Saccharomyces cerevisiae S288C: one gene and its partners. The protein of the gene in region 1 interacts with the protein of each later gene in a biochemical or structural test. Each region holds a gene or a part of one and is shown on either strand. Other genes may lie near its edges.

Evidence for each region.
Region 2: the proteins of PRK1 (region 1) and ARP2 form a complex in vitro, tested with the Saccharomyces cerevisiae proteins (one study listed by BioGRID).
Region 3: of the proteins of PRK1 (region 1) and SCD5, one has a biochemical effect on the other in vitro, tested with the Saccharomyces cerevisiae proteins (one study listed by BioGRID).
Region 4: of the proteins of PRK1 (region 1) and PAN1, one has a biochemical effect on the other in vitro, tested with the Saccharomyces cerevisiae proteins (4 studies listed by BioGRID).

The regions. Positions count from the first base shown.
Region 1 is NC_001141.2:182,063-186,891, reverse strand, and holds PRK1 (serine/threonine protein kinase PRK1), read right to left. Parts: upstream 2,956-4,829; coding exon 523-2,955; downstream 1-522. Other genes in the region: LYS12 (homoisocitrate dehydrogenase), read left to right, coding at 1-375; BMT5 (25S rRNA (uracil2634-N3)-methyltransferase), read left to right, coding at 3,765-4,775. UniProt on the Saccharomyces cerevisiae protein: Protein kinase involved in the regulation of actin cytoskeleton organization and endocytosis. Phosphorylates PAN1 which disrupts the interaction between PAN1 and END3, and between PAN1 and SLA1. Phosphorylates SCD5.
Region 2 is NC_001136.10:397,344-401,149, forward strand, and holds ARP2 (actin-related protein 2), read left to right. Parts: upstream 1-1,996; coding exon 1,997-2,018; intron 2,019-2,141; coding exon 2,142-3,295; downstream 3,296-3,806. Other genes in the region: SF3a splicing factor complex subunit PRP9, read left to right, coding at 194-1,786; serine/threonine/tyrosine protein kinase MPS1, read right to left, coding at 3,654-3,806. UniProt on the Saccharomyces cerevisiae protein: Functions as ATP-binding component of the Arp2/3 complex which is involved in regulation of actin polymerization and together with an activating nucleation-promoting factor (NPF) mediates the formation of branched actin networks.
Region 3 is NC_001147.6:936,118-940,966, forward strand, and holds SCD5 (Scd5p), read right to left. Parts: upstream 3,233-4,849; coding exon 614-3,232; downstream 1-613. Other genes in the region: ATP-binding cassette multidrug transporter PDR10, read left to right, coding at 1-380; DNA-directed DNA polymerase gamma MIP1, read right to left, coding at 3,504-4,849. UniProt on the Saccharomyces cerevisiae protein: Regulates both fluid phase and receptor-mediated endocytosis. Involved in vesicular transport at a late stage of the secretory pathway. Regulates actin cytoskeleton organization.
Region 4 is NC_001141.2:364,923-371,551, reverse strand, and holds PAN1 (actin cytoskeleton-regulatory complex protein PAN1), read left to right. Parts: upstream 1-1,643; coding exon 1,644-6,086; downstream 6,087-6,629. Other genes in the region: EGH1 (hydrolase), read right to left, coding at 1-848; U2 snRNP complex subunit IST3, read right to left, coding at 6,217-6,629.

The DNA of each region.
Region 1 (4,829 bases):
AGGCTGTTCAGAGAACCACAATGTTTTGATGTGATAGTGGCACCAAACCTATACGGGGATATATTATCTGACGGTGCTGCTGCTTTAGTCGGTTCATTAGGTGTTGTTCCAAGCGCCAACGTAGGTCCAGAAATTGTCATTGGTGAACCATGCCATGGTTCTGCACCAGATATTGCTGGTAAAGGTATTGCTAACCCAATCGCCACTATAAGATCTACTGCTTTGATGTTGGAATTCTTGGGCCACAACGAAGCTGCCCAAGATATCTACAAGGCTGTTGATGCTAACTTAAGAGAGGGTTCTATCAAGACACCAGATTTAGGTGGTAAGGCTTCTACTCAACAAGTCGTTGACGACGTTTTGTCGAGATTATAGAGCATATAATAGGAAAATAGAAACGAATAAATAAATGAATGAGTGACAAGATATATTTCAAAAAATTTCAAATGATTGACGAAAGAAAATTTGTACATTTTGTATGACTTTTAATATTACATAGTCTATTATGTGTGAGAGCAAGTTTTAAACTTTGCTGGGAAACCTTTTTCTAAAATCGGCTTCTAAATCATCTACGTTAACATCAACAATAGTTTCTGTGGCTTCGCTGGAAATTCTTTCAATCGGCAGTTTCTTTGATTGTAAACGACTAAAGTTTCTTATCTTCTGAATTTCTGTCCTTAAATGTAGTGGTTTTGGTGGTGGACGTGGTGGTCTTGATTTATCTTTACCGTTGCTTTTCGTTTTGATGTCCAAAACACCATCCTTAAGGGTTTTCTTAAACTTTTCTTCTGTGATTGGTGTTATTCTTACACTTGAATGTCGATTGGAAGTTTCTGTACCAATATCTGTATATTTACCATACCCGGATGCGGATTTATACGTTACCGGATCATCAGAACTCTTTAGTAAGTTATGCACTCTTCTTTGAATTGATTCCTTCTTTTCTTGATTTATATTAACGTTGCCATTATCTGGTATCAAAGTAGGCTTTGATGTCGTTTTAGCTGATGCTTGAGTTTTCTTCACTGGAGAATGAGACCTGTAATAGTCCCTTGATCCAGTTCTCGAGTTATTCCTCTCATGCTGGTCAAAATCTGATAAAATTGAAGGAGGCATACTGCGACGTTTTTCCAGTCTCTGATTCTTGTCTGATTCCTCTTTTCTTTTGGTATCAGAATTAAATTTAGGAAAGGAGGAGGTTGAAGACGAAACTAATCGCCTGTTTGTATTGTTACCATTGCCGTTGACATTGTTATTATCAAAGGAAGCAGACCTGCTATTGTTCACTGAGTTTCCTGTAAACCCATGACGAAGCTTACCAAATGCTGATCTGATACTATCACCAGTATTTTGCCTTGATTTAATCGGAGAATTGCCGCGAGATTCACCAGTAATAACCTTTTTTAACTTAGAGCTTAGTGAACGCACAATCTTGCTTCCATTTATATTATCTGGAGCAGCAATTTCTTTTGTGGAGCTTAGTGATTTGCTTGTAATGGTGGGAGATAGTTTTAAGTTTGGCACAGCCATGTTATCTATAGTTTGCGTCTCAGAATCAACGTAGTTATTTGGACGATTTATTGCCGAAACTCTATCAAAAATGTCATTATTAACAGGAGTAAGCGATAATGGAGGCATAGACTTCCTTTGTGGGGATTGGAAACTTTCTACTGATTTGAAAGTCTGAGACTTTTGAAAAGGGTGTAGCTCTTTATAATATAGTGATGCAAATTCATCAGAAAGTGGAACGGATTTTGTTTTCATTAAGGGACTAGTCAAATTTGAATGGCTTCCAACCTGTAAGCCAGCATGCGCCGTTACTTCTGTCTTGTTATTATCATTAATAGATATAGGGAAAGTACCCAAATTAGGAGTAGTACTGACGTGAGTTACAGGCATCATATTTGGTGGCTGGTTGATGCTCTGAAGGCTTTGTACGGGAATAAATTTCTGTGTTGGAACATAAGTTGTCGAAGACGGTTCACCGGCCAATTGGGTATTCGCATTCTGATTCATTGCTCTTAACAAGTAAAAATTTCTAATCGGGCAAGGCTTATTCTGTAACCTGGAAACCTCCTCTAAAACTTGACAAATATTTGGCCTCTGAGATGGTGCTTCCATTAACATAAGACGTATCAAATTTTTCAACCTGTCACTATACTGCGGAAAGGATGGATATTGATACCTTGCATGTAGTATACCGGCTTCACCACTTTTTTCAAACGGCGTAGTATAGTAACATATTTTGTAAAGAAAGACACCAAGAGCCCAAATATCAGATTTTTCGTCGATAGGTAACCCTCTGTACAGGTCAATCATTTCAGGTGATCTATACTGAGCTGTAGTATTTGTTAGGATGTCGTGTTGAACATAATTAAACTCTTGAGTATTTCTAGGTGGCCTTATCACACCGGAAACGGAACCAAAATCACAAACTTTATACAAGCCATCATGAGAAATAAGTACATTCTCAATCTTAATATCTCTATGAATCAATGGCGGCTGCAGAGCGTGCATTGCAGTTATACCTTGGACGGTTTGACTCATAATTTCTAATATTTCAGATTCTTGTAATCTATTTTGTAATCTGGTGTTCATAAAATCTATAAGACCTCCACGTTCACAAAATTCCATTAACACAAACACCTCATATGCTATACCATTTACAGACCTTGCAGCATGTGAATCTATGTAAGAAACAACATGCTTATTATTTCTAAGGAGTTTCATAGCATCCACTTCAGCTCTCAAGGTATTTAAACCCTGTTTATGGGGGACAATGACTCTTTTCAAGCATGCTATGTTAGCATTGCTATATGGGTCAGGAGGGGAAATTTCGGCAGTATATACTTGTGCGAATCCACCACTCGTAAGGTATTTGATAATCTTAGCATGATGAGATCCCACAGTTAATATTGTCCCGGGTTCATACAGACTAATCTGTGGAGTATTCATTGTTTTTGGATCAGTTCAACTAAAGATAGGAGGTTACAAATAATCTTGATCAACACTTCAATCAAAAAAGATTTTTTTCGCTGAAGATAATAAACTATCCCACAATGGAAATTCAACCTGTATTAGCGAACTAACTTATGTTCAAGTGGAGCCTGTGACCTGCCTGCTTGGTGACTTTTTTAGCGTTTCCTAAATGTACTGTTCTATATTTTTCTTTTTCCAAGACCTTCGCTCTGCATACGCCTGCCTGGTTATAATTACAGTTTTTTTTAAAAACCTTTACTAAGAATAAATAGTAACAGCTAGTGCAAACTAACGACATTGACATTTACTTGATATAAAATAATTGAGAGCGATCATATATATCGGAAATCTCTATCAGTACTAATATTAAATTTACATGAAATACTTCAACAAATTCCTGGTCTCTTGGCCCAGTTGGTTAAGGCACCGTGCTAATAACGCGGGGATCAGCGGTTCGATCCCGCTAGAGACCACTTATTTTTATGACTTCTTGGAAGTCAATTTTTTTTTCCTTCTGAATCAGTAATAACAAAAGTCGTAGTTGATCTTGTTATTGGATCATGTACATCAGTATTATTAATGATTTTAGTATTTCAAGCTGGCTCCCATATTTTTCTCCTGTAGAAAGAATGTAAATTATTCGGAAAAAAAAAAAAAAAAAGAAAAGAATTGGCGATGCGATGAGCTTAAAAGAAAACCTTCCATTACTTAAATTCATTGGAGCCTGACAACGTTTAGTAACGTTAAAATCATAGATTAACACCAATCATAACCTAAAATTATCAATGGCCAGGAAATTGAAGGGTAAGATTGGGAGTAAAGGCCTAAAAGGTGCATTATTAAGGCACAAGGCCAAAGTGAAATTAGTGAGGAATATTGAAAGTAAGCAAAAACATGAACTAAGAAAGAAAAATTCGAGCGCTAATAACAAAACCGTGAAGAGAAACCAAGAATTCCAAAAACTTAATCAAGGGAAGGTTATGCCCTTTGAGAAGGATGAAACTTTGATGCTATGTGGTGAAGGAGATTTTTCTTTTGCCAGATCCATTGTTGAACAAAACTATATTGAAAGTGACAATTTAATCATAACAAGTTACGATAATTCTGTGAATGAGCTGAAATTGAAATATCCGCATACTTTTGAGGAAAATTACCAGTACTTAAAAGATCTAAATATTCCGATATTTTTCCAGATTGACGTTACGAAGCTCGTAAAGAGCTTTAAAATTTCCAAAAATAATACTTGGTTTAAAATAATCAACAGGCTTAGCGATCATCGTTGGGGTAACAAACCTTTACAAAATATAGTTTTCAATTTTCCCCATAATGGAAAAGGTATTAAGGATCAAGAAAGAAATATTAGAGAGCATCAGGACTTAATTTTTAACTTTTTCCAAAATTCCTTACAATTATTTAATCTTATAAACACGAAAATTCAAAATGATACTCTTCGTTATACGCAAGGCTATGATCTTAATGAGGATACTCCCCAGGCTAAAAAATTGACCGCCGAAGGTTATGGTAACATCATACTGTCCCTTTTCGATGGAGAGCCCTATGATTCATGGCAAATCAAACTTTTAGCCAAAAAAAATGGACTAACTCTGAGCAGATCGAGCAAATTCCAATGGGAAAATTTTCCAGGATATCATCACCGGAGAACGAATAGCGAACAAGATACTACAAAACCTGCGAAAGAACGTGATGCTAGGTTCTACATCTTTAGTAAATATGTCTCGAATAGTTCAAAACATAACCGTAAAAGCAAAAAAGACACAGATTCTGATTCAGACTAAGTACAGAAGGAAGAATGTCGCCATGTTGATGAAAGAACTTTCATTTTCCCTAAT
Region 2 (3,806 bases), on another chromosome or scaffold:
GTTCAATATTTTTTTTGTAGCGCATTTTATTCTAACTTTCCGATGAGGCAACAAAGAAGTGTTAAGTATCGGCTGACGAAGTGCAATAAAAAGTACTTAGTTATACGGTAGATCAAGAACCTTCGGTGAGCCAAGCGAGGGTGTATACATTCATTTAATTTTGCTTTAATAGGAGTAGGAGGGCATCATCTCAATGAATTTACTTGAAACAAGGAGGTCCTTGTTGGAGGAGATGGAGATTATTGAAAATGCCATAGCAGAAAGAATTCAGCGGAATCCAGAGTTATATTACCACTATATACAAGAATCGAGCAAGGTGTTTCCTGATACTAAACTGCCTAGATCATCGTTGATTGCAGAGAATAAAATATACAAGTTTAAAAAGGTTAAGAGGAAGAGAAAACAGATAATTTTGCAGCAACATGAGATAAATATTTTTCTTCGAGACTACCAAGAGAAACAACAAACTTTTAATAAAATCAATCGTCCAGAAGAGACACAGGAGGATGACAAGGATTTGCCTAATTTCGAAAGAAAACTACAACAGCTAGAGAAGGAACTGAAAAATGAAGATGAGAACTTTGAATTGGATATCAACTCTAAAAAAGACAAATACGCTTTATTCTCATCTTCTTCTGATCCATCGAGGCGCACAAATATATTGTCTGACAGAGCTCGAGACCTAGACTTAAATGAAATATTTACTAGAGATGAGCAATATGGTGAATATATGGAGCTGGAACAATTTCATTCTTTATGGTTGAATGTAATTAAACGGGGCGATTGTTCACTGCTTCAATTTCTCGACATCCTAGAATTATTTTTGGACGACGAGAAATATTTGCTAACCCCACCGATGGATCGCAAGAATGATAGATACATGGCCTTTTTGCTAAAGTTGAGCAAATATGTAGAAACTTTTTTCTTCAAAAGTTATGCTTTGCTTGACGCTGCGGCAGTTGAAAATCTAATCAAATCTGACTTCGAACATTCATACTGTAGGGGATCTCTTCGGTCCGAGGCAAAAGGTATCTATTGCCCTTTTTGTTCGAGGTGGTTCAAGACATCTTCCGTTTTCGAAAGCCATTTAGTAGGGAAAATTCATAAGAAAAATGAATCTAAAAGAAGAAATTTTGTGTACTCTGAATATAAACTGCATCGGTATTTGAAATATTTAAATGATGAATTTTCTCGAACGAGAAGTTTTGTTGAAAGAAAACTGGCATTTACTGCAAATGAAAGAATGGCAGAAATGGATATCTTAACACAGAAGTATGAAGCACCTGCATATGATTCGACGGAAAAAGAGGGGGCCGAACAAGTGGATGGTGAGCAGAGAGATGGTCAACTGCAAGAAGAGCACCTCTCTGGTAAATCGTTTGACATGCCATTGGGTCCGGATGGATTGCCTATGCCATACTGGCTATACAAACTGCATGGGCTTGACAGAGAGTATCGCTGCGAAATTTGTTCGAATAAAGTTTATAATGGGCGACGCACTTTTGAAAGACATTTCAACGAAGAAAGACATATTTATCACTTGCGATGCCTTGGTATCGAACCTTCTTCAGTATTCAAGGGCATAACCAAAATTAAGGAGGCACAAGAGCTCTGGAAAAATATGCAGGGGCAGTCACAGTTGACATCTATTGCAGCAGTTCCCCCAAAGCCTAATCCTTCACAACTAAAAGTTCCTACAGAATTAGAACTAGAAGAAGAAGACGAAGAAGGAAATGTAATGAGTAAGAAGGTCTACGATGAACTTAAGAAGCAAGGTTTGGTGTGAAATCTCTCTGTGATATGTATATTTGTTTGATAGATAGCAGTTGTATGTATTTATACTATTCTTAGTAATGACCTTATTACCCGTCTTGTAGAATTGAAAGGCGAAAAACAATTTGAGGACCCATATAATGGAAGAAAACGGACGTGAAAGTTAAATATACGTACCAGAAGACAAATCACAGTAATAAACTAACAAAACTATATAATAATAATGGACCCACATAATCCAATTGGTATGTTGTTGATATTTTTAGTGTTTGTGGAGGCAATTGAGCTCGGTGCCCCTTTTGGCTTTGCCTCTTTTGCATTTTAGTTCTTTTACCCCTATATTATTAATACTAACCATCTCGATATAGTCCTTGATCAGGGTACTGGTTTCGTCAAAATTGGTCGTGCTGGCGAGAATTTCCCAGATTACACGTTTCCTTCTATTGTTGGTAGACCCATCTTGAGGGCGGAAGAACGTGCCAGCGTTGCTACACCATTAAAGGACATTATGATTGGTGATGAGGCAAGTGAAGTTCGCTCTTATCTGCAAATATCTTATCCTATGGAAAACGGTATTATTAAGAATTGGACAGATATGGAACTTCTTTGGGATTACGCCTTTTTCGAGCAAATGAAACTACCATCCACCTCCAACGGTAAGATTTTACTAACGGAACCTCCAATGAATCCGCTGAAAAATAGGGAAAAAATGTGTGAGGTAATGTTCGAAAAATACGATTTTGGCGGAGTTTATGTTGCCATCCAAGCTGTTCTAGCATTGTACGCACAAGGTTTGTCTTCAGGAGTCGTCGTCGATTCCGGTGACGGTGTTACTCATATAGTCCCAGTTTACGAATCTGTCGTTTTGAGCCACTTAACAAGAAGATTAGATGTTGCGGGTAGAGACGTTACTAGGCATTTGATTGATCTGCTTTCTCGTCGTGGTTATGCATTTAACAGAACTGCAGATTTCGAAACTGTGCGTCAGATAAAGGAAAAATTATGTTATGTTTCATATGATTTAGACCTAGATACAAAATTGGCTAGAGAAACAACCGCCCTTGTGGAATCGTATGAGTTACCAGATGGCAGGACAATCAAAGTGGGACAAGAGAGATTTGAAGCACCAGAATGTTTGTTCCAACCTGGTTTGGTTGACGTTGAACAACCTGGCGTGGGCGAGCTGTTATTTAATACTGTGCAATCGGCTGATGTTGATATCAGAAGTTCCCTGTATAAGGCCATTGTTCTTTCAGGTGGTTCAAGTATGTACCCAGGGCTGCCTTCGAGATTAGAGAAAGAATTGAAACAATTATGGTTTAGTAGAGTTTTACACAATGACCCTTCAAGACTTGATAAATTCAAAGTTAGAATTGAAGATCCTCCAAGGAGAAAGCATATGGTTTTCATTGGTGGTGCCGTTTTAGCTAGTATCATGGCTGATAAAGACCACATGTGGTTGTCTAAGCAAGAATGGCAAGAAAGCGGGCCATCTGCAATGACTAAATTTGGTCCAAGATAGATTTGAACTTTATTGATCCAAAAGAATTAATAAAAAAGTTTAAATCTACGAATGAAAAATGGAAATGGAATAATATAAACTTATATATAAATGTAATAAGTTAATAAGGCACAATTGTTGAACAAGCAATCAAAATATAATATTTCACTGAGCGCCGTTAGAGGATAGTTATCCTTTTCTTGGTATTTCAAGTATTCAGTGTCTGTGTCGAAAAATTGATTGATGATTTATTTAAATGAATATATATAAATATGTAAAAAAGAGTTGATCAAAGTAAATAAATCAGTACATGCATGGCAAACTCTAAATGTATTTATGTTCATAACTGGCACATGCTTTTCTTCCTTATGCGGCTCTTCTAAATTTTGTAATCTGCAAATTTCCTTAAAACAGTGTCTACCACATCATTGAGATCATCTTGTGATATATGAGGCTTCTCAGAGCCATATCTAACGGCATTCCTAATAAGGTCTTCCATAATCGATCCGGATATCATAAAAGGTTGAAGGAA
Region 3 (4,849 bases), on another chromosome or scaffold:
TTATGTATAGAGTATCGCCACTGACATACCTCATTGATGCTCTGCTATCGGTAGGACTGGCCAATGCTAGTGTCGTTTGTTCCAGCAACGAACTTTTAAAAATTGTTCCTCCAAGCGGTATGACATGCTCGGAATATATGGAACCTTATATGCAATCCACCGGGACGGGTTATCTGCTCGATGGGAGTTCCGAAACTGAATGTCACTTTTGTCAATTCAGTTCTACCAATGATTATCTGGCGACTGTGAGTTCTTCGTATTCACGTAGATGGATGAACTATGGCATTTTTAGTGCATATATTGTCTTTGACTATTGTGCAGCAATATTTTTATACTGGCTGGTGCGGGTTCCAAAGAAAAGCAAAAAATTAAAGAAATAATTAAATATTACTGGCTACATTCATTGTATATGCAAAATTAGTTAACTATTGTTCAGAGGTTTACGCCATGTTGCTAAATGTTTGGTGAAACTAAAAGACTAGCTCAATAATCAAGACAATAAATAATGCTAGTAAACAGGTGTTCATAAATTACATCACTTTTGTGACTTTATGTACACATATACCTACATATATTATCTTTCAAAACTATACACCTCGTTTAGCTTACGATACTATGGTCTCCTATTATATTGGATTTGTAAAGCATCGACTTGCTGCTGCAATGACTGCAAGTTACCCAAAATATCGCTTGAATTGGATCTATTAACATCTGCAGTGAATGGAAATTGCTGCTGCTGTTGCTGTTGCTGTTGATGAACTTGCTGCCCTAGCATTCCGTAATTAGGCTTGTTAGGTTGGCTATGTATATCACTGTTGTTTAAGTGAAGTTGCCCCGGATGTTGTTGCATTTGAGAAAGTTGGCCACCATATATTCGTTGTTGAGTTTGTTGTTGTTGTTGCTGCTGAATATACGTCTGATGAGATTGAGTATTGTTCATTGCCGCACTAGTATTTTGGAATGAACTTATGCCATTACTGGCGTTATTGCCATTAACAGTAGACGCATTTGATGGCGTAGGATTTGGAGATGGTGAAGAAGAAAGTAAAGATTGAAAGTAACTATTAGCAGCATTCTGAGGTGACAAAAAATTTGGAGATTGTATGCTTGGTGAATTTGTATAGGAGGGTTGGGTCGGCACCAAATTATTCTGCTTTTGCACGTTAGAGTACATATGTTGAGGTGGCACAATGGCCCCTTGTTGCTGCTGCTGAGCGCGTGGAGGTGGAGGAGGTGGAAGATGTTGGGGCTGCTGTTGATTATTAGTATACGTATTCTGGGGGGATATCATTGTTGCTTGATTATTGGAATAAGTATGTTGCGGAGAAAGAATGGGCTGATTTTGAGTGAAGGTATTTTGTGGAGATATCAATTGCGACCGTTGGTGCTGCGGGATCGTATTTTGAGGAGAAAGCAAATGCGATTGCTGATGTTGAGGAAGAGTGTTTTGAGGGGGGAATGCACCAGTTATTTCTACTTTCGGCATGGATACGATGTTACCATTATTAATCCGAACATTGTTAGAGTAGGTGTGTTGAGGCGATATGTTAGATGGTTCAATTTTCGCTTGAGTCGGATTAACCTCTTGGTAAGGTTGCTGTTGATTGCTTTGAGGAAGAGTAATGTTCGGAGAATTCAGAAATGCTGGTCCTGTACTTTGTGGAGATGAAGATTGGTTCGTAAATTGCGCCTGAAACATCGAAGATACTGGGTTATTAACTGAAGGTGAGATATGCTGTTTCATCAAGTAATTTGCAGAACCTGTGGCGGTAGGTTTCAAAGGTTGAAGTCCCCCAGAGTTTGTAACTGTTTCTGGTGTACTCGAAGGTTTGATAGACTGAGGTTGTTCCATATGACTTCGCATCAAATAATTTGCAGAGCCCGTTGCTGTTGGTTTTAAAGGTTGTAAACCTGTTTGGATGGCACCGTTGCTTGGATGCAACCCCTGATTATATTCTTCTCGCACCAGGTGATTAGCTGAACCTGTGGCGGTTGGCTTCAAAGGTTCTAACGGAAGTTGCTGTGGAACAGTGGTGTTATTCACATTGCTAGTTGGTAGAGTATTGCCATTCTGTAAAAATACCGATGAAATTGGCAATGAGGCAGAATCAACAGTCTGTATTTGTTTGAAATGGGACAAGGAATCCTTCATATCCTCCAAAACTTTCTTCTCCTCCTCAGTTTCTTGTTGTTCGCTGGGCAAACTCGAAACTAATCCGCTGTTTTTTCTCCGCTTATATAGCCTCTTTAATAATTGATCCATGGGCAATGTGAAATCCAAAGGACTGTCATTATTAGAATCCTGATCTTCATCTTCTGCATCAGGATCTTGCTTTCTTGCTTCACTATTATTAGATGATTCTTGATTGAGGTTTGGAGGGTCTTGAAATGTTATATGCTCTGAAAACCTAACCTTCTTACTCTTAAAATTCAAATTTTTGATTCTTCTCCTGACTCTTTTTCTCGTTGTCTTACCAGTCAACAGCAATGAAGCAAATGAGTCAAAATCGACCTTTTGATCACCAGTTTTGGCAGAACTATCATCGTCTTCCACCTCCTCGTACACCTCTTCGTGATTCTCACTACTTAGGATAGGACGTGGTTTGGGAACAGGTGCCTTTTCCAAGATCATGCGTCTTAGAGGTAAGATGCCATATATAATAGCTCTAGAAACTAATCTTAAAACAGCGAAAAATTGACCAATATTTAACGCATTTTTACAGCTACGGAAAATTTCCACAATTCTATCTTTTACTTTTTGTGATAAATTAAAATTGGTCAAGAACCTAAACACGTCGTTCAATCTTACTAGTTTTCCATGGGTTCTCAAACATATATAGTGGTACCATCTTAGATATGTCCTTATTTCTTCATGGGTAAGTTGGTTTTGTGATAAAGACAATGGGACTTGCATGTCTTCTGGTGACTCCGCGTACACATCGCCTCCAGAAAGTGTTCGTACCTCCCCATTAGGTGGATTATCCTTTTGAGGAGAGCTCACGTTAGTGGCATTATCAGCTGCTGTATTTGAGTGATTATTTCTGTAAGACAAAGTTGTATCACTGTGACTTCTTGATCCCTGATCCCAAAAGCTGGAATCATGTGGAGCAGCAGTATTTATACCAAAATCAAAAGACACACTGGGTGGTCCTAATCCATTCGATGGCCTCTTTTCTGCTTGGTCCCCGCTGCTTAAGTCCAATCCCGGAACATTAAGCCAATCAAACGACATGTTTCGTTACCATGTAAAATTTATCGAGCCTGCAATGATCTATAAAATCTTAGCTAACGAGAAGATGCAGATAATTTGGGTTTTGAATTCCTATTTTGAATTCTACCTTTTGTTTTGTCCCCGTTTCCTAATGTTAACTCTTTTTCTAATAGGGGCAACTTACTTTTGTTTTCTCATTTGGCGAAAAAAAGTAAGTAGAAATAAATAAAAAAATAATATTATAATGTGCTGTATATATAAATACAAATGCGAAAGCTAATGCAGATTTTGCCTAGTACTCTCTAGAAATAGTAATGTCCCTTTCCAGCTCAACCAAATTTCTATTTGTAGTGCTTGACTTCCTTGCCGGCAATTTTTTGGAATGTACTGCTTTCGCAGTCTTTCTTATTGGCGATGATGATGCCGTTCTTGCTTGTGATGGTTTCTTTTTATAATTAGATTTGTCGTTCAGAACGTCGTCAATCACTCCATCTATAGGAATATTAAAGAATTGTTTTTCTGTCTCCAAAGTATAGTCTAACGGTTTATTTGCACATTCATAGAACGCTTCAAATGCCTTCCTGCCACCATACACTCTTTTGTACTTCCTTTCCATAGGCGTGGTATTCTTTTTTCTGGTTAATTTTTTCTTATTTTCGTCATCTATCCTGTTTTCCTTCTTTCTCCTGTTCTCCAGCAATTGCTTTTCTGGGATTGCTGAATCGTTAGCAATTTTATGAAGTGTGGGATAATCTGGCATATTGACAGGTAATCTGATTCGTTGATCAGCTTTGGCATTTTTGGTACCATCTAAAAAATTGGATCCCATAATACGTACTTTAGTCCTTTTGCCCTTCTCGACATCCTTTATATAGTCTAGGAGGCTGTACTCTGCAGTGTTCCCATCTCTAGCGTATTCTTTGGATGTACACTCCCGCAGATACTCATCTTCTAGCCGATTCACATCGCGCTTATCTGACTGGACTTGCATCGCAAGAAAATATTTTAAGAACTCTGGAGTATAAGATTTATTATATTCTTCAAATACAGGTTCTCTGTAGTTATAGGCATATTGTGATACTTTGCTGTCGATATCGAGATTTGGTTTACCCAATTTACTATTGGATTTGTCTAGCAGTTGATTGATATCAAGCGCCTCCCCATGAGGAATGGCGGTTTTGTTCGAGGGGGTTATGCAGTCCATATTGACTTCTTTACGTATGACAGAATCAATATCTACTTGCGAGAAAAAGGCACAGTTTTGCGGTAATTCATTTATCCCCATTTGCTGGCAAAACATTGCTCTCGTCCATATGTTGCTGATTTGCAAAGCCATAGCAGCTCTGTATTTGTCCTTTTCGCTCACCAAAAATCTAATCTCATCATGGATGGAAATGCAAAGCCTTGCCTCAAGGTTATATTTCTTAATAATATATTCCATGGAGCAACAAAGAAGATGTAGATAATCCACTCCAGATGACTGGATGGCCCAATTGATTCTTGAAGGTAGAAAGGAATTCGCCCTCAGATTTTTCTTCATAAGTGAATAGGTAATACCACATCCCAGTACCGGTGTCTTTGGAGTTTCTTGTTCCGCGATGCTTTCTAATTTATTGAATAGAATTGACTCAGATCCAC
Region 4 (6,629 bases), 180 kb from region 1:
CTCTCTTTCGGAATCACATCGAGATTTGTTTCACCAATGTAACCACAGTTTGGCTCGTTCATAGACTCTAATCCAATAATGCAGTTGCTCTCAAACAACTCAGGAGCCTTTTCTTTAATTCTTGCGCACAGTGTCATGATTGCATCATTAAACCTTCCTTGCAAGTAATCCTGTATGTTTTCTCCATTAATTGTGCACTTAGGAGCATATTGTTTCCCACCAAAGAATAACGTAAACATTGTTTGACACGCCAGTTTGAAGTAGTTTGTAGGCCAAACCATCTTAGGGTAGGACTCTTCATCTTTGCCAACTTCCCTGCCCGTTTTGGGGTCAATATAATAATTATGTAAGATTGCAGCATCGGTGGCCAGGAAGTTTGCAGGTTGAAACCCTGCACAGTATAAGGTCCATAGCGGTGCTCCAGATCCACCGCTAAACCTAGACCAGACGTCTTGGTGAGGGTCCAAATAAATGTACATACCTTGTTGTACGCTGTTAATCCTGGTTAGTACCTCGACGATATAATCCATATAGTCAAAATCGTACTGTCCTGGACCAGCATGTTCAAGAGATTCCCAGGTGAAGGGTAAACGAATGGTATTGTAACCCAGTGATTTCAATCTGATGATATGCTGTTCGATATCATCAAGAACTAAGGGGTGATTGATGAAACTGACTTTATCAGCATCCTCGAAAAACGTGTCATTTTCTATGGGAGCGTGGGTGGATAGGAATGGCTTTGCAGGGATTTTAACTGACGGATCCAAATTGACACCACGCAATTGGATCTCGTTGCCATCTTTATCGCAAAACTGACCGTCTGCAGAAATGTGTATTTTGGCAGGCATATGATCTGTTCTTATTAAATTCAAACAATTTAGGTACGAAAGAAAAAGAAATAAATAAATAAAAAAAGAGAAGAAAGGTTAAGAAAATAACTGTCAGTAGAATTATTGCGAAATATAGAATTAATATTAATTCCATTGTTAAGGTTTACCAGAGATATAGAAACCTTAAACGAAGGCAATATTCGAGCGGATATGAAAAAAATAAAATAAACATACTCCGATACGGGGAGTCGAACCCCGGTCTCCACGGTGAAAGCGTGATGTGATAGCCGTTACACTATATCGGATTATAATCTATATTTTTTCTACTTCGATCTTATGTACTACTAATTTGATAATTTTGGGTTTAATATGGTTTTTTACTGAAGTACCTGCTTACCAACAGTAGAGATATTTAACGAATGCTTTCCTAAGACGCTTTTTATGCTTCAATTGGGCAGATATTAAAAATTCATCAATTAACAATGTTTATTTGACAATCTGGTTCGTCAAAAAAAAAAAAAAAAAATCACGTCCAGATCTGTTAAACCTTAAAGGTAGGTGCTCACGATAACCGATTGATCTCTCAGTCGCATAGTAGCTATGTATACTCTGTTTATCAATCGCTTGTTATTATAAATTGGCTTGATCACATGACACGTCGACGATATTTTTTTCTTGTTAGGGGCAAAAGTTGGTATTGGAAGAAAAAAAGCATTAGAAAGCCATATAGATCTATTGGCGAAACACACGTCGAGAAGCAGGAAGAGGAAGAATCTATCAGCGACGCGAAATTGCTAATCTGTACAACTGAATATGTATAACCCGTACCAGCAACAGGGCATGGGTTACCAGCAGCAACAGCAGCAACAGCAGCAACAACCAAATGGATTCTACCCGCAGCAGCAGCAAGGTCAGTCTTCAAACCAGCCCCAAGGCCAGCCTCAACCACAACAGCAAATGGCGTTTAACCAGCCTCAGGCTACCGGAATTGGTGGGATGCCTCAAAGTTTTGGTAATTCTTTCTCAAGTATGCCACAGCAGCCCCAAACGGGTTACAATAATAATGGAAATAATGGTAGTGTATATGGTAATGGTAATTTTGGCCAACAACCCCAGCAGCAACAACAGCAGGCGAAACCGCAGCATACGGGATACGTACCAAATTCCAGTATGCCTATGATGAATACTACTGGCACCATGCCTCCACCTAATCCGGCTCAACAGCCTCAGCTACAATCCATACAACCCCAAGGAACAGGCTATTACCAAGCTGCTAATACTGCAAATGTACACTCAGTACAACCTTTGCAATCTCAAGGGACAGGATATTATGTGTCTACACCCAATTTGATCTCTTCTAATCAAACCCAGCAGCCCCTTCAGGCCCAGGGCACTGGTTATTATCAATCTCAACCTCAACAGGTGCCACCTCCTCAGCAAGCACAGTCCTTGCAACCTTTGAAGCCGCAGCAAACAGGATTTTACCTTCAACCGCAAAACCAAGCTCCCTTAGAACCATTAAAGCCCACCGCAACTGGCTTTGTCAACTCATTTGCCAACAACGGTCTAAACAATGATATCAAAATCCCTGCCATTAGATTGTCGTTTATTACTGCCCAAGATCAGGCAAAATTTGAGACTCTATTCAGATCAATTGTTACCAATGGTTCGAATACTGTTTCCGGTGCTAATTGTAGGAAAATTTTGATGAGATCCGGTTTGCCACCTTCTCAACTCGCAAGAATTTGGACGCTTTGTGATACATCAAAAGCAGGTGAGTTACTGTTTCCTGAATTTGCATTAGCAATGCATTTGATCAATGATGTCTTACAAGGTGACACTATCCCTTACGAATTGGATTCTAAGACAAAAAACGAAGTTTCAAGTTTTATTGACGCCATTAATTTAAGCATTGCAAACCAGGATTCTTCCGCAAACGATGCCCCAAAAACTCCCTTTGATGAATTCATTACAGCGGGCGTACAAAATTTGCAACCTCAACCAACAGGATATATGCCTCAAACTAGTTTTGGTATCCCATTACAGTCTCAAATTACTGGAGGCGGTGTTGCCTCGGCGTTGAATCCTCAATCCACAGGATTTATGGCACCAACCACTTTCAACATGTCAATGAATACCGGAACTCCCGGATTGAACCCCCAAATTACTGGAGGAGCACCTGCCTCTATGCAACCCAACATTACTGGCAATGCTTTGCAACCTCAGACAACTGGTATGATGCCACAGACAACTGGTATGATGCCACAGACAACTGGTATGATGCCACAGACTTCATTTGGCGTTAATTTAGGACCTCAGTTGACCGGCGGTGCTTTGCAATCTCAGTATACCGGAGGATATGGTTCCGTTATGCCCCAGCAAAGCGGTCCTGCAAGTATGCCCAATTTGTCCTTTAATCAACAAGGATTACAATCTCAGTTAACCGGGTTGCAACCCCAACCAACGGGTTTTCTACCACCATCTAACTTTAGTGCTACCATGCCGTTGACTGCCCAAAAGACAGGATTTGGTAATAACGAAATTTATACCAAATCCAACTTTAATAATAACTTAATTGATAACTCAAGTCAAGACAAAATTTCCACGGAGGAAAAATCTTTGTTTTATAAAATTTTTGAAACTTTTGATACTCAAAACAAAGGTTTGTTAGATTCCCCCACTGCTGTGGAGATTTTTAGAAAATCTGGCTTAAATCGTGCAGATTTGGAGCAAATTTGGAACCTTTGTGATATAAACAACACCGGCCAATTGAATAAACAAGAATTTGCACTAGGTATGCACTTGGTTTACGGTAAATTAAACGGGAAGCCAATCCCCAATGTCCTACCTTCAAGTTTAATTCCCTCCAGCACAAAACTTTTAGACAACTTAAAGAACCAATTAAAGACAGAGCCAACGACCACAAAAGAAAAACCTTCGTTTGGTAAAATCGATGCCTTGAGCTACAAAAATAATGATGATGATGTTTTGCCGAACTATAGAAATCGTAGGAAGGTTTACTCTGCGAAAAATGAAGAGCAATCTTCTTTTTCTTCACCATCTGCTAAATCTGTTAATCATTCTAGCAGCACCCTTCAAACCGATGACATTTCGGTAGATAAGACTGTTGAAAAGAAGACAGCGAAACCAAAATATGCTGGGTTTTCAAGAGAAATAAATCTGAAAAATATTGCTTCACTGGAAAATGAGATCAAAAATATCAGCAATCCTGAAAACTGTTATGACAGTTCTATTCCATCAGATTTGACAAGCCGCTTTGATGCCATCATCGCCAAACTTCCAAACCTATTCAATGAAATTTCTACAATTGATAATGAGATTACCAATGCAAAAATTCAGTTGTATAGAAAAAAAAATCCTTCTTCGATAATTGGATCTGGTCCAAATGGTGAAATAACTGAAAATGATAGGAAGAAAGCTAAGAGTAGGGCTTTGTTGAGAGCAAGGATGTCTGCTCTAACAGGAAAATCAACGGAATCGGAGGATTCACTTTCCATGGAAGATGAACAGCAAAGTGCTGAAATCAAGAGAATCCAGCAGGAAAATGGTAAGAACCAAGAAATCATTAAAGACATAAGGTCATCTATATCAGATATTTCTGCATCCTTGAAGTCTACTATGACAGGATCGAATATGATATCCAATCAAGAATTTGAAAGATGGGAATTTGGCATAGGGTTAGAAGATGGTGTTCGTGAATTTTTGGATGATCTGAAGTCAAATTCAAATAAATCAGTGACTGAGTCATCTCCCTTTGTGCCTTCCTCAACACCAACCCCTGTAGATGACCGTTCCTCGTCGCCTTCTTATTCTCAGTTCAAAACTGCTGAAGAAAGAGCAGCTTATCTGAAAGAACAGGCAAAAAAGAGAATGAAGGAAAAATTAGCTAAATTTGATAAGAATAGGCGAAATGTTACTCAAAGTTCCAGATCGATTAGCAGTGAAAACTCTCGAGAACAGCCACAACAGATTGCTGGTTCTTCCAATTTAGTTGAACCTAGAGCAACTCCATTCCAAGAAGAAAAATATGTGGAAGTCGCTCAACCAACTCAACCTGTTCAATCAACACAACCTGTTCAACCAACTCAACCTGTTCAGCCAACTCAACCTGTTCAGCCAACTCAACCTGTTCAGCCAACTCAACCTGTTCAACCAACTCAACCTGTTCAGAATGTATATAATGCAAAGCAAGAATCCGATGATGAAGATGAAGATGATGAAGAAAAGCGTTTACAAGAGGAGCTAAAACGATTGAAACTTAAAAAAAAGGCTGATAAAGAAAAAAGACTTGCAGCTTTACGTAAGCAAATTGAGGATGCTCAAAATGAAAGTGACGAAGAGGAGACAAACGGAAAAGACAACTTTGGCGGCCATGTGAACGTTCCTCAGGCCGCTCCAGTGGCACCATCTGCAGCTTTTTCGCAAAATTCTACTAATGCTCCTCGCTCGGTACACGCTGCTGTTACCCCTGCCGCAGGTAAGAACAGTACTGGTCTGCCTTCCACGACAATGGGCCATAATCCATACTTCAAGGATGCATCAGCTAGCTCTACATCTACTTTCGATGCTCGCGCTGCAGAAATGCAAAGAAGAATCCAAAGAGGATTGGATGAGGACGAGGATGATGGATGGTCTGATGAAGACGAGAGTAATAACCGCGTAGCTGTAGATAATAAGGTTGAAGAAGCAAAGATTGGTCATCCTGATCATGCACGTGCTCCACCTGTTACTGCTGCTCCCTTGCCGTCTGTTACCCCTGTTCCACCTGCTGTCCCTGTCCCTCAGGCGAATACCTCTAATGAAAAGAGTAGTCCTATTCCAATAGCTCCGATACCACCTTCTGTTACTCAGGAGCCACCCGTCCCGTTGGCTCCCCCTTTGCCTGCTGTTGATGGCTTTCAAGAACCTCCAATTCCCTCAGCACCTGCAATAGCTACTGCCGTGCAAAAATCGGGTTCTTCCACCCCAGCTTTAGCTGGAGGCGTTTTGCCTCCACCCCCACCTTTACCAACTCAACAAGCTTCCACTTCAGAACCTATTATCGCTCACGTTGATAACTACAATGGTGCTGAAAAAGGCACGGGCGCATATGGATCCGATTCTGATGATGACGTTTTATCGATTCCTGAATCAGTTGGTACAGATGAAGAGGAAGAAGGGGCACAACCAGTTTCTACTGCAGGTATCCCATCAATTCCACCTGCAGGTATTCCTCCACCCCCACCCCTTCCATGAAGATTTAATTTGCTTTCTATAGATACGTATGTATACTAATTTCTGAAAGGATGTAGAATTACAAATATGATATTGATTATTTTTTTCTAGGCTATATGAATATAAGATATGCGATGAAAGAAAAAATTATTTAATTTGGTTGGTCCTTTTTAGCCAAAATGAGTTTCTCAGCATTGTTCTTCGAAACTATATCTCGATCCAATTCTTCCTTTACAGCTTCATAGTATTTTTGTAAACTCCTTTTTGGCCTATAAAAAGTATGATCAATTTTGAGGGCTCTACCGCCAATTTTAAATCCATTTAAATTATCGACTGCTAGAATCGTTGACCGTTGATCCTCATATTTCAAATATGCAAAACCTTGCGATTCTCCTGTGTTTTCATCCCTGCTAAGAATTACATCTACAGGGACTCCATATTCAGAAAAGACTGTCAATATGTCACCTTCTGTTAATTCTCGGTTGAGATTTCCGATATATATATAAGCATTATCCTTATATTCATTATGCCATGATTGATGCGGGCTAAGAATTCCACTTTGTA